Canis lupus familiaris: one gene and its partner. The protein of the gene in region 1 purifies or fractionates together with the protein of each later gene. This does not show direct contact. Links are inferred from orthologs where the notes say so. Each region holds a gene or a part of one and is shown on either strand. Other genes may lie near its edges.

Evidence for each region.
Region 2: the proteins of MICALL2 (region 1) and RAB8A purify together in Homo sapiens (co-immunoprecipitation; 3 studies listed by BioGRID and IntAct, with this or other methods). This does not show direct contact. The link is inferred for Canis lupus familiaris from reciprocal best matches to the Homo sapiens genes MICALL2 and RAB8A.

What each region holds. Positions count from the first base shown.
Region 1 is NC_049227.1:15,644,599-15,648,098, reverse strand, and holds part of MICALL2 (MICAL-like protein 2), read right to left. Parts: coding exon 3,341-3,500; intron 2,505-3,340; coding exon 2,317-2,504; intron 1,611-2,316; coding exon 1,495-1,610; intron 819-1,494; coding exon 33-818; intron 1-32. UniProt on the Homo sapiens protein: Effector of small Rab GTPases which is involved in junctional complexes assembly through the regulation of cell adhesion molecules transport to the plasma membrane and actin cytoskeleton reorganization.
Region 2 is NC_049241.1:46,760,030-46,764,177, forward strand, and holds the start of RAB8A (ras-related protein Rab-8A), read right to left. Parts: upstream 2,801-4,148; 5' UTR 2,792-2,800; coding exon 2,668-2,791; intron 1-2,667. UniProt on the Homo sapiens protein: The small GTPases Rab are key regulators of intracellular membrane trafficking, from the formation of transport vesicles to their fusion with membranes.

The sequences.
Region 1 (3,500 bases):
GACCCCGCCTGCCCCAGCTCCTCCCCACCCACCTGCCAGGTGCCGGAGCACCAGTCTCAAGCCTGGGAAGGGCCTTCCGGAGGCAGCTCAGCGCCTGCTCCCTGCTGTTGGCCCTAGAAGGCACATCTGCAGGAGCCGGGGCCCTGCCAGCTGGGCCAGGGCTGGGGGCAGCTCCAGGAGTCTGGAAGAACCTCTCCCGGGCCTGCTGCATCTTGGAGGCTGCTGATGGGGCCCAGTCTGGGGTGTCTGCTGGGCCTGGAGACGTTGGGCCCAAGCTGACCTTGGTGTGGGGGGGTGCCACTTGAGGGGTCACCCGGCCCTGTGGGGTGGCTGGGCGAGAGTCCAGGGCATTTGGCGTTGGGGCAGAACGGGGGATTACTGCTGCTGTGTGCTGTCCCGCCGATGACCACCCTGCTGGGGAGCTGTTGGCCACACGTGTGCTGGCTCTGCCACCCTGGAGGCCCGCCAAGAATGCAGGCCTGGCTGGGCTCCCTGCGTGGACGTGGGAAGAGGCGGTGGCCTGAGGGTTGGCCGTAGCAGGGACGCCTTTGGCAGTCGAGTTGCCCATCACAGGCTCCCGGGCCGCTGGCCTGGACTCTGGCCCTGCATCTCGGGGCCCATTTGCCTCCTGGGCCTTCTGTGGGGCACTGGGCGGCTTGGAGTCTGAGGGTATGGCCCCTGGCTGTCGTGGGGCTGGGCCCCGCAACATGGGGCTTGCAGAGGCAGCTTCGGGGTGGTGGCTGGAACACACGAAGACGCCGGGCTCGCCGGTGGCCCTGTAAGCCCCAGAGTGCAGTGTGTTGGAGCACTGCTTACACCTGGCACAGGGCAGAGAAAGACCCATGAGGACACTCCAGGCAGGCATGCGTGCATTCCCTTATTCACACACACTCCCATGAGTACACACTCATGCAACCCTGTGCCAACTCCTGTGGCAATAGACTCAACAGTCATTTTGAGTCACAGACTCCACAAATCCTCATTAAGGGTGCAAACACCTAGAGTGTCCATGCCTGTGTACATGCATACTCACAAATGCACACATAAGTGCACGTGCATACATTCATGGGTGCAAGTGTGCACAGGTGAACACGCATGCTCGCAAATGTGCACAGAAGTGCACATATGCATGGGCACACAGGGGCATGCACACACATGCACAGGCATGCACACATATGCACGGGCCCACACACACAGGGTGCACATGTGCATTCACAGGCACATACACACATGCATGGGTACACACGCACATTCACGAGAGCACACATACACATGCAGAAGTGTGCACACATGCATAGGCGCACATGCATACACATGCATGGCCGCACTCACACACACACGTGCCCAGGTGCATGCACATGCACAAGTGCATGCACACATGCACAGGTTCACACAAAGGGTGCACGCATGCACACACATGCATAGTCACACACATGCACATACACACACATGCACAGGCATGCACAGGCACACACAGGCACACACCAGCTCTACCTGAAGCAGCTCCGGTGGTAGAGCTTCCCGTCAGCCAGGTGTCTCTGCACGAGGTGCACGTGCTTGCCGCAGACTGCGCAGGTGCTGCTGACTGAGCTGCCTGCAGAGGCCTGGCCCTTGGGAGGGGTGCCAGTTACTATTTCTGAGCCCTCACCATAGGCTAGGAGAGGTCATGTGCCCCAGCTCTCCTCCTGACAGCCGCCCCATCAGCAGGCAAGAAGATCCCACTTTACAGACCAGAGAACTGAGGCCCTGAGGGGAGCAGCCCACCAGGCACTGATGGACTCTAAGTTCAGGGGCTGCAGCCTGACCTTGGGGGTCTGGGGGGACAGGGGCCAGATCCCGGCGCTCCTGAGGCCACCAGAGGTACAGCAATCCCAACACCAGGCCGCAGTTCCCTCGTCACTTGGACAGCAGGGGGCGCCCGACTACAGCACATCACTCGTCCTCTGTCCCCCCCCCCACCTCTGAAAGTGGGGGTGCCTAACACCCTGGGCAGGCGGGAAGGACACACCCAGGATTCTCTCCTGGCCCACCCAGGAGGGAGGGGCGGGAGGCCAGAAACCACTCAGGAGCCCAGAAACGTCAGGGTTCAATGTCTCAGATCTGCTTGGCCTGCATAATCTCCCTGGGCCTCATTCTACCTATCTGTACAACGGGGATCATATCCTGACATGCAAGATTGAAGGGGTATGTGGAGTCAATCCTGATAAACAGCAGCTGAGGATGTGCTGGGGAGCCAAGGGGACCCCCATCCCAGGCCCTGCGGTGTAGAGGTCACAATCCCAAGAATCAGAGGGAAGGTGGAGCTGGGGTGCTTACGGTTTTCAGCAGGGGGCCTCCTAAGCTCCCATCCTTCCGCTGGACGGTGGGGTTTGTGCTGACTGGAGACAGCGGCTGCCCCCGGGCTGGAGTGGGTGAGGGCCTGGCCAGCTGGGATGGAGCCTTCTTCCCAGATGGTTCCTCATCAGAGTCCGAAGGGGGCCTCTTGATACCAGCCATACCCCCAACTGGCATGAGACATGTGAGATCAGGCTCTCAAAGTATCTGGGGCCACCTCCCCACCCCCCCCCACCCCCGTTCTGGGTTCTCTGTGGGTGCCAGTGGATAACATGAGGCCTGGAGCCCAGGGCTGTTGGAGCAGGCTAAGGGGCAGCCTGGAACAACCACAAGCACACATTCCCAGCAGGGGCCTGGTCTGACCCACGCCCCTCCCCCCAGGCTCCAAGAGCCCCGATCTGGGGTCAGGGAAATGGAACTTTTCTGTTTCTCCACAAAGTGGAAATATCAAGGCGGGGCTGGTCCTGTGCCCAGAGTGGTTCCGGGGATTTCTAAGGCCTGGATGAGGAATGTGAGGGGAGGGGAAGGAGCTGAGCTTCGGGGTGCGCAGAGCAGCTGGAGTCCAGTCCCTTGGGCCCATCCCCCACCGGCCTGCCAAATGTCAGGACCAAACGGGGGTGGGGGGGCGCCTCTGGAGCCAGGCCTCGGAGCCCACACAGGGTCTGCCAAGCTGCCTGAGGCGAGACTTGTGGGCATGGGCTCCAGGGGTGCAGAGGGGAAGGAGAGGCAAGATCTGGGTGCCTTTGTTTGGTGCACAGGTGAGTGTGGGGTCTGGGGGGCTCGGACCCTCATGGTGGCAGGAGGGTGGGGGCTACTCCCCCGGGGAGGAAGCCACAGCTCAGGGAGCCCCACGGATGTGACTCCAGAGAGGCCTCCCTGCTGCTTTCTGCCCTGCCGGGTGGTGCTAAAAACCACCACTGAGCTGGCAGGGGGGCTCACTTGGGCCCAAGACAGAGGGCCAGCCTGGCAGATGCAAGGCCTGGGGGGGCCTCCAGCCCCAACTTACTGGGGGAGCGTCCATGGAAGTAGTTGTAGTACTGTGACACGTAGGTCAGGATGCTCAGCCGGTCTGGCACCTTCAGGGCCACCATGTCCTCAGCGTCCAGCAGGGCTGGGATGCCCAACTGCTCCTCGGCCACACAGAAGGCCTGGGGGGAGTGGTCAGC
Region 2 (4,148 bases), on another chromosome or scaffold:
TGATTCATCCAAGTTATGCAGATGCAGACCGGCTGGCATGCAGTCATTCAGATGTGCAGCCCTGCTGGCAGCCAGCAGGCATTGGGGAAAGATGGCAGGACAATAGAACTAAGAGGAACGGGGTCTACATGGTGCTGCGTGGTTTACGAAGCACTTTGACGCTGTGCCATCTGTCTCCCTGAAGGAATGAGTGAATGGGACCCTGAGGAGACGTTGGAAGCTGAGCCAGGCTGTGAAGAAGCAATTCCAGGAGCCACGGGGCCAAGTTTACACCACAAATGATTGATGGAGCTTAGGAGAATAGGCTTTGGCAAAACGAAACGTGGGCAGGAAACGAACAGCCACTTAATCCCTGATCTATAAAGCAAGCCCAGAGGTACACTCAGCACCAACAGAGAATCACCTTTATCCAGTCAGTTTGTGTCTCAGGACTCAGGGGCCCAGTGCTATTCCTTCCTAAAACACTCCCCACCTCCTGTCACAGATGCACAGGGCCATATAAAATCAAGAAGCACCGTTCTACTGGCAAGGTTCCACAGCATCACTCTGTCCTCATCTCTTCCTGCATTTCATGAACACACCAAATATAATTAGGAAGTGTAAACTTTACAAGGCTAAGAATTATGAGGCCATTACTTCAAGGCCAGGATGAATTAAATTTTCTTAGAAGACAGAGACCTGCAGGAAAACTATAAATGTAATGAGAATGCCAAGGTGGGAGGAGGGAGGGATTCCGGGCTCAAGTGCGACCTGTGTCCCCAGGTGACCTGGCCCAAGTCATATCTTTGTCTGGAAGTGGAGGCCAGTCTTCTCAGAGCCCTAAAGTGCTAGACTGGGCTTTCTGGTTGAGAATTAGAAACCGAACAAAAAAGCCCAATCTCTGAATTGATCTCACTAGTGCCTGTACTGAACAGCAAGTTCCTGAGGCTGGGAAACTGAGGTCTGGGTTGAGGACGAGCCACAGCCTGCCAGGAGTTAACATCTCTTCCTGACCGGTGGGGATGGGATGCAAGGGTTGTCCCAAAGTTTGACCTTGGGGTGGTGGAAGGGGAGGAATCAGAAGCATCTGTGTCTAGGGAGGGGATGGTGTCACTGCAGGAGACATTCTGCTTCCTCCAGGCAGCCTCTGGCCATGATGACCACCTCTTATTCACTATATAGTTCTGATCCTCAACCATCCAGGGCACTGGCCAAGGCAGAAAGCATTAGTCCTAAACTGAAGGAATAGGACTCAGAGAGGCTAAGTGCTGGTTCAAGGGCAAACAACAGCTGGCAAGCAGGCATGACGATTTCCAGTGCGATTCTCTCCACTCTGCATCAGGAACATAACTGTAACGTGCAGCTCCTGGAGGAGGGCAAGGATGGAATGAGCAGCTCATCACGGGGTTCATAGAGATAAGGTGATTGGATTCAAGTTACACGGGGGTAAAGCAAAGCCTGGTGCCCAGGTTTTCCCCATTCAGAATCAACTCCTGAGCTTGGTGACCACTCTGCAGCAAGGCTGTGGAGCTCACAGGCCACGCGATTTGATCGGCGTTACTTCCAGGTCAAATGTTTTCACATGGGCAATGGCTGTTTTTGTGGCGTCGGGAGAAGTCAGCTCCACTTTTGTGGATATCAGAACTGAGAAGCAACAAGCCAATTCTGTTCAACCACAATGTGGGCTGGCCCTGTGGGAAAGGCTGTTCTGCAAAGTGACAACTGGTGTTCTGGGCCTCCAGATAGGGAAGTCAGGGCTGTCTGTGGCAGCGGCTGATTTTGGTTTGTCACTCAAGTTTTTATCTGGCATCTCCTTGGGGGTGACAGGTCCTAGGGCAGGCAGTGGTCACTCACCCTTGACACCCTCAAGTGATGGAAGTTTGGGCGGAGAAAGGCTCCAGACTCCTTCTCACCATTCCTTCTAGGAGAAATTCACCCATAGGGGAAACAGGGTCAGGGAGCCGGGCTTACCCCCTGAACATTCCAGAGGAAAGAGCAGGAGAGAGTTGGTTGAGAGTGCTGGTTCTCAGATGGACCAGCAGTGTTTGCCCTGGGGACCAGCGCTCACATCCCTCCGGCAGGATCCTGCCTTGAGCTTTCGTGTTAGACCCACATGGATTCAAATTCCACCTCTGCCACCTGCAGACGTGACCTTGGGGGAGTCCCCCGTTTCCCTGAGCTTCAAATTCCTCATGTGAGACGGGCTCATTTAGAGCACCTAACACAGAGGACTGGAAAGTGTGATAATGCCCATAAAGCGGCTAGCACACAGTAAATGCTTAATAAGGTTCAGATGTCACAGGCCTCTTCCGATGGCCTACTCCCCAAGCCTGTTTCGCTTCTGTAAGGCGGGGACCCCAAAGGAACAGCTTCGAAGGCTGCCGTGTGAACAGAACGAGACGACCGGAGCCGGGACCCCAGCCCGAGACACATACTTCCTGACAAGCAGCCTGAGGGGTGGGGCCTCAGTCCCCCCATCTGCAAAATGGGCACTTGGTTCGCCGCCTCCCCCCGCTGCCCGGTAACCCCCGGAAGGCGGCGGAGGCGGCTGCTCTCCGCCCCTCCGGCCCCCTCGACCCTCTCAGATCCCTGGATCCGTCCGGCCCAGCCGCTCCCTCAACCCCAGCCCTTCAGGGGCGCGCCCGGCCCGGGCCTCCGGCGTCCTCCGCCGCTCCCCGGCCCCGCTACCTATGGTGGAGATGAAAGTTGAGTTGAAGGCGTCCTCGGAGAAGCGGAACAGGACACAGGTCTTCCCCACCCCCGAGTCCCCGATCAGCAGCAGCTTGAACAGGTAATCGTAGGTCTTCGCCATATTACACTCTCTCCCCGACGGGAAGTGCGGCCAGCGCCTCGCCACTGGCCGCGGGCCCCGTCCATCAGCGCCGAGCCCGCCCCCTATTGGCTCCCAGCCCGCCGCGCGTCACCGCGGCCGCCGCCCGCTCCCGCGCCCCGCCCGTCGCGGGGAGAGCTGGGGAAGGGGCGAGCGAGGCGCGGTGCCGGAAGCGGCCCGAGCGCGCCGCTCATTGGTCGGCGCTCGGGACAGGGCGGGCTCCAATTGGCCAGCCCTGAAGAGTCGGGGGCTTCAAATGCAGCCCGGCGGGGGGCGTGGCCTCCCGGGTCCCCGCCTTCTTTCCCTCTCCCCCCCCCCCCCACCTCTCCCGGCTCCGGGGCGGCCCCGCCCCCCGGCGGGAGGGGAGGGCGGGGCACGTCGCCAACGGCTCCGCGCGCCCGCGGCTCGGGGGCGGGGCTTGGGACGTGCGTACGGGGCCGGGGGGATCGTTAGGCGCCAGCAGAGGGCGCGCGCGCGGCGGGCCCTGGCTCTCCCGCCCTCACGCCTGCGCAGCCTCAGTAGGCGCTGGGAAGAACGCGGGAAGGGGCCGCGCGGGTGGCCGCGTTGTGCGGCGGCTGCGGCGTCGGGCCCCGGCGCGCGAAGGGGAAGGCAGAGCCGGGGTCGAAGCGAGGTCCCCGCGAGACGTCCTCCGGGGCCTCGGCGCTGGCCAGGGGACCGCTTGGCGCTGCCGGGCCTCCGCCACCCGAGCCGCGAGGCCCTCGGACCTAACCGGAGCCTGCCCAGAGCCCGAGCGCCGGCCGCCCCGCCGCGGATGCAGCCCCGTGAGGATGCTGGGACGTGGCTCCGAGCTTGGTGTTGGCCTGCCCGAGTGGTCCGCACTGGGAAAACAACACCAGGTGGCCCCACTCCGACCCGCCGGCTTGGTACTGGGCTTCCCGCCCGTTGATGGGTTAGAAAACCGAGCTTCAGTGATTTCCCCAGGCTCCCGAATGGGGAACCGGGCCCGAGCTCAGACGCGCAGGCTTGGGAAGCCCGAGATGACCTGCGGGTCGGAGGTGGGCCGCGCCGTCGGGGGGTGCGGGCATCTACACTCGGATCTGGATCCGGGCGCGGCGGGGGGGGGGGGGGGCCGAGGGGGGAGCTTCCAGCGGAGCCGCCGCCCACCCTCCTTGCGGGTGTCTCCCGTCGCCCACGCCTGGCCCCCTCTGGGTGCTGCTCCTCGGATTGTGTCGCAGTCCCCGGGGTCCCCGCGTGTGCTTTAGGCGTTGCCGGTGGTCCCAGGTCTGCTGGCACCCTGGGGCAGCTCGTTCACTCTCCGTACAGGTGATTCTTTGAGGAAATCCATCCCCCAGCCATCCACCAGCCGCTTTCTTGGATT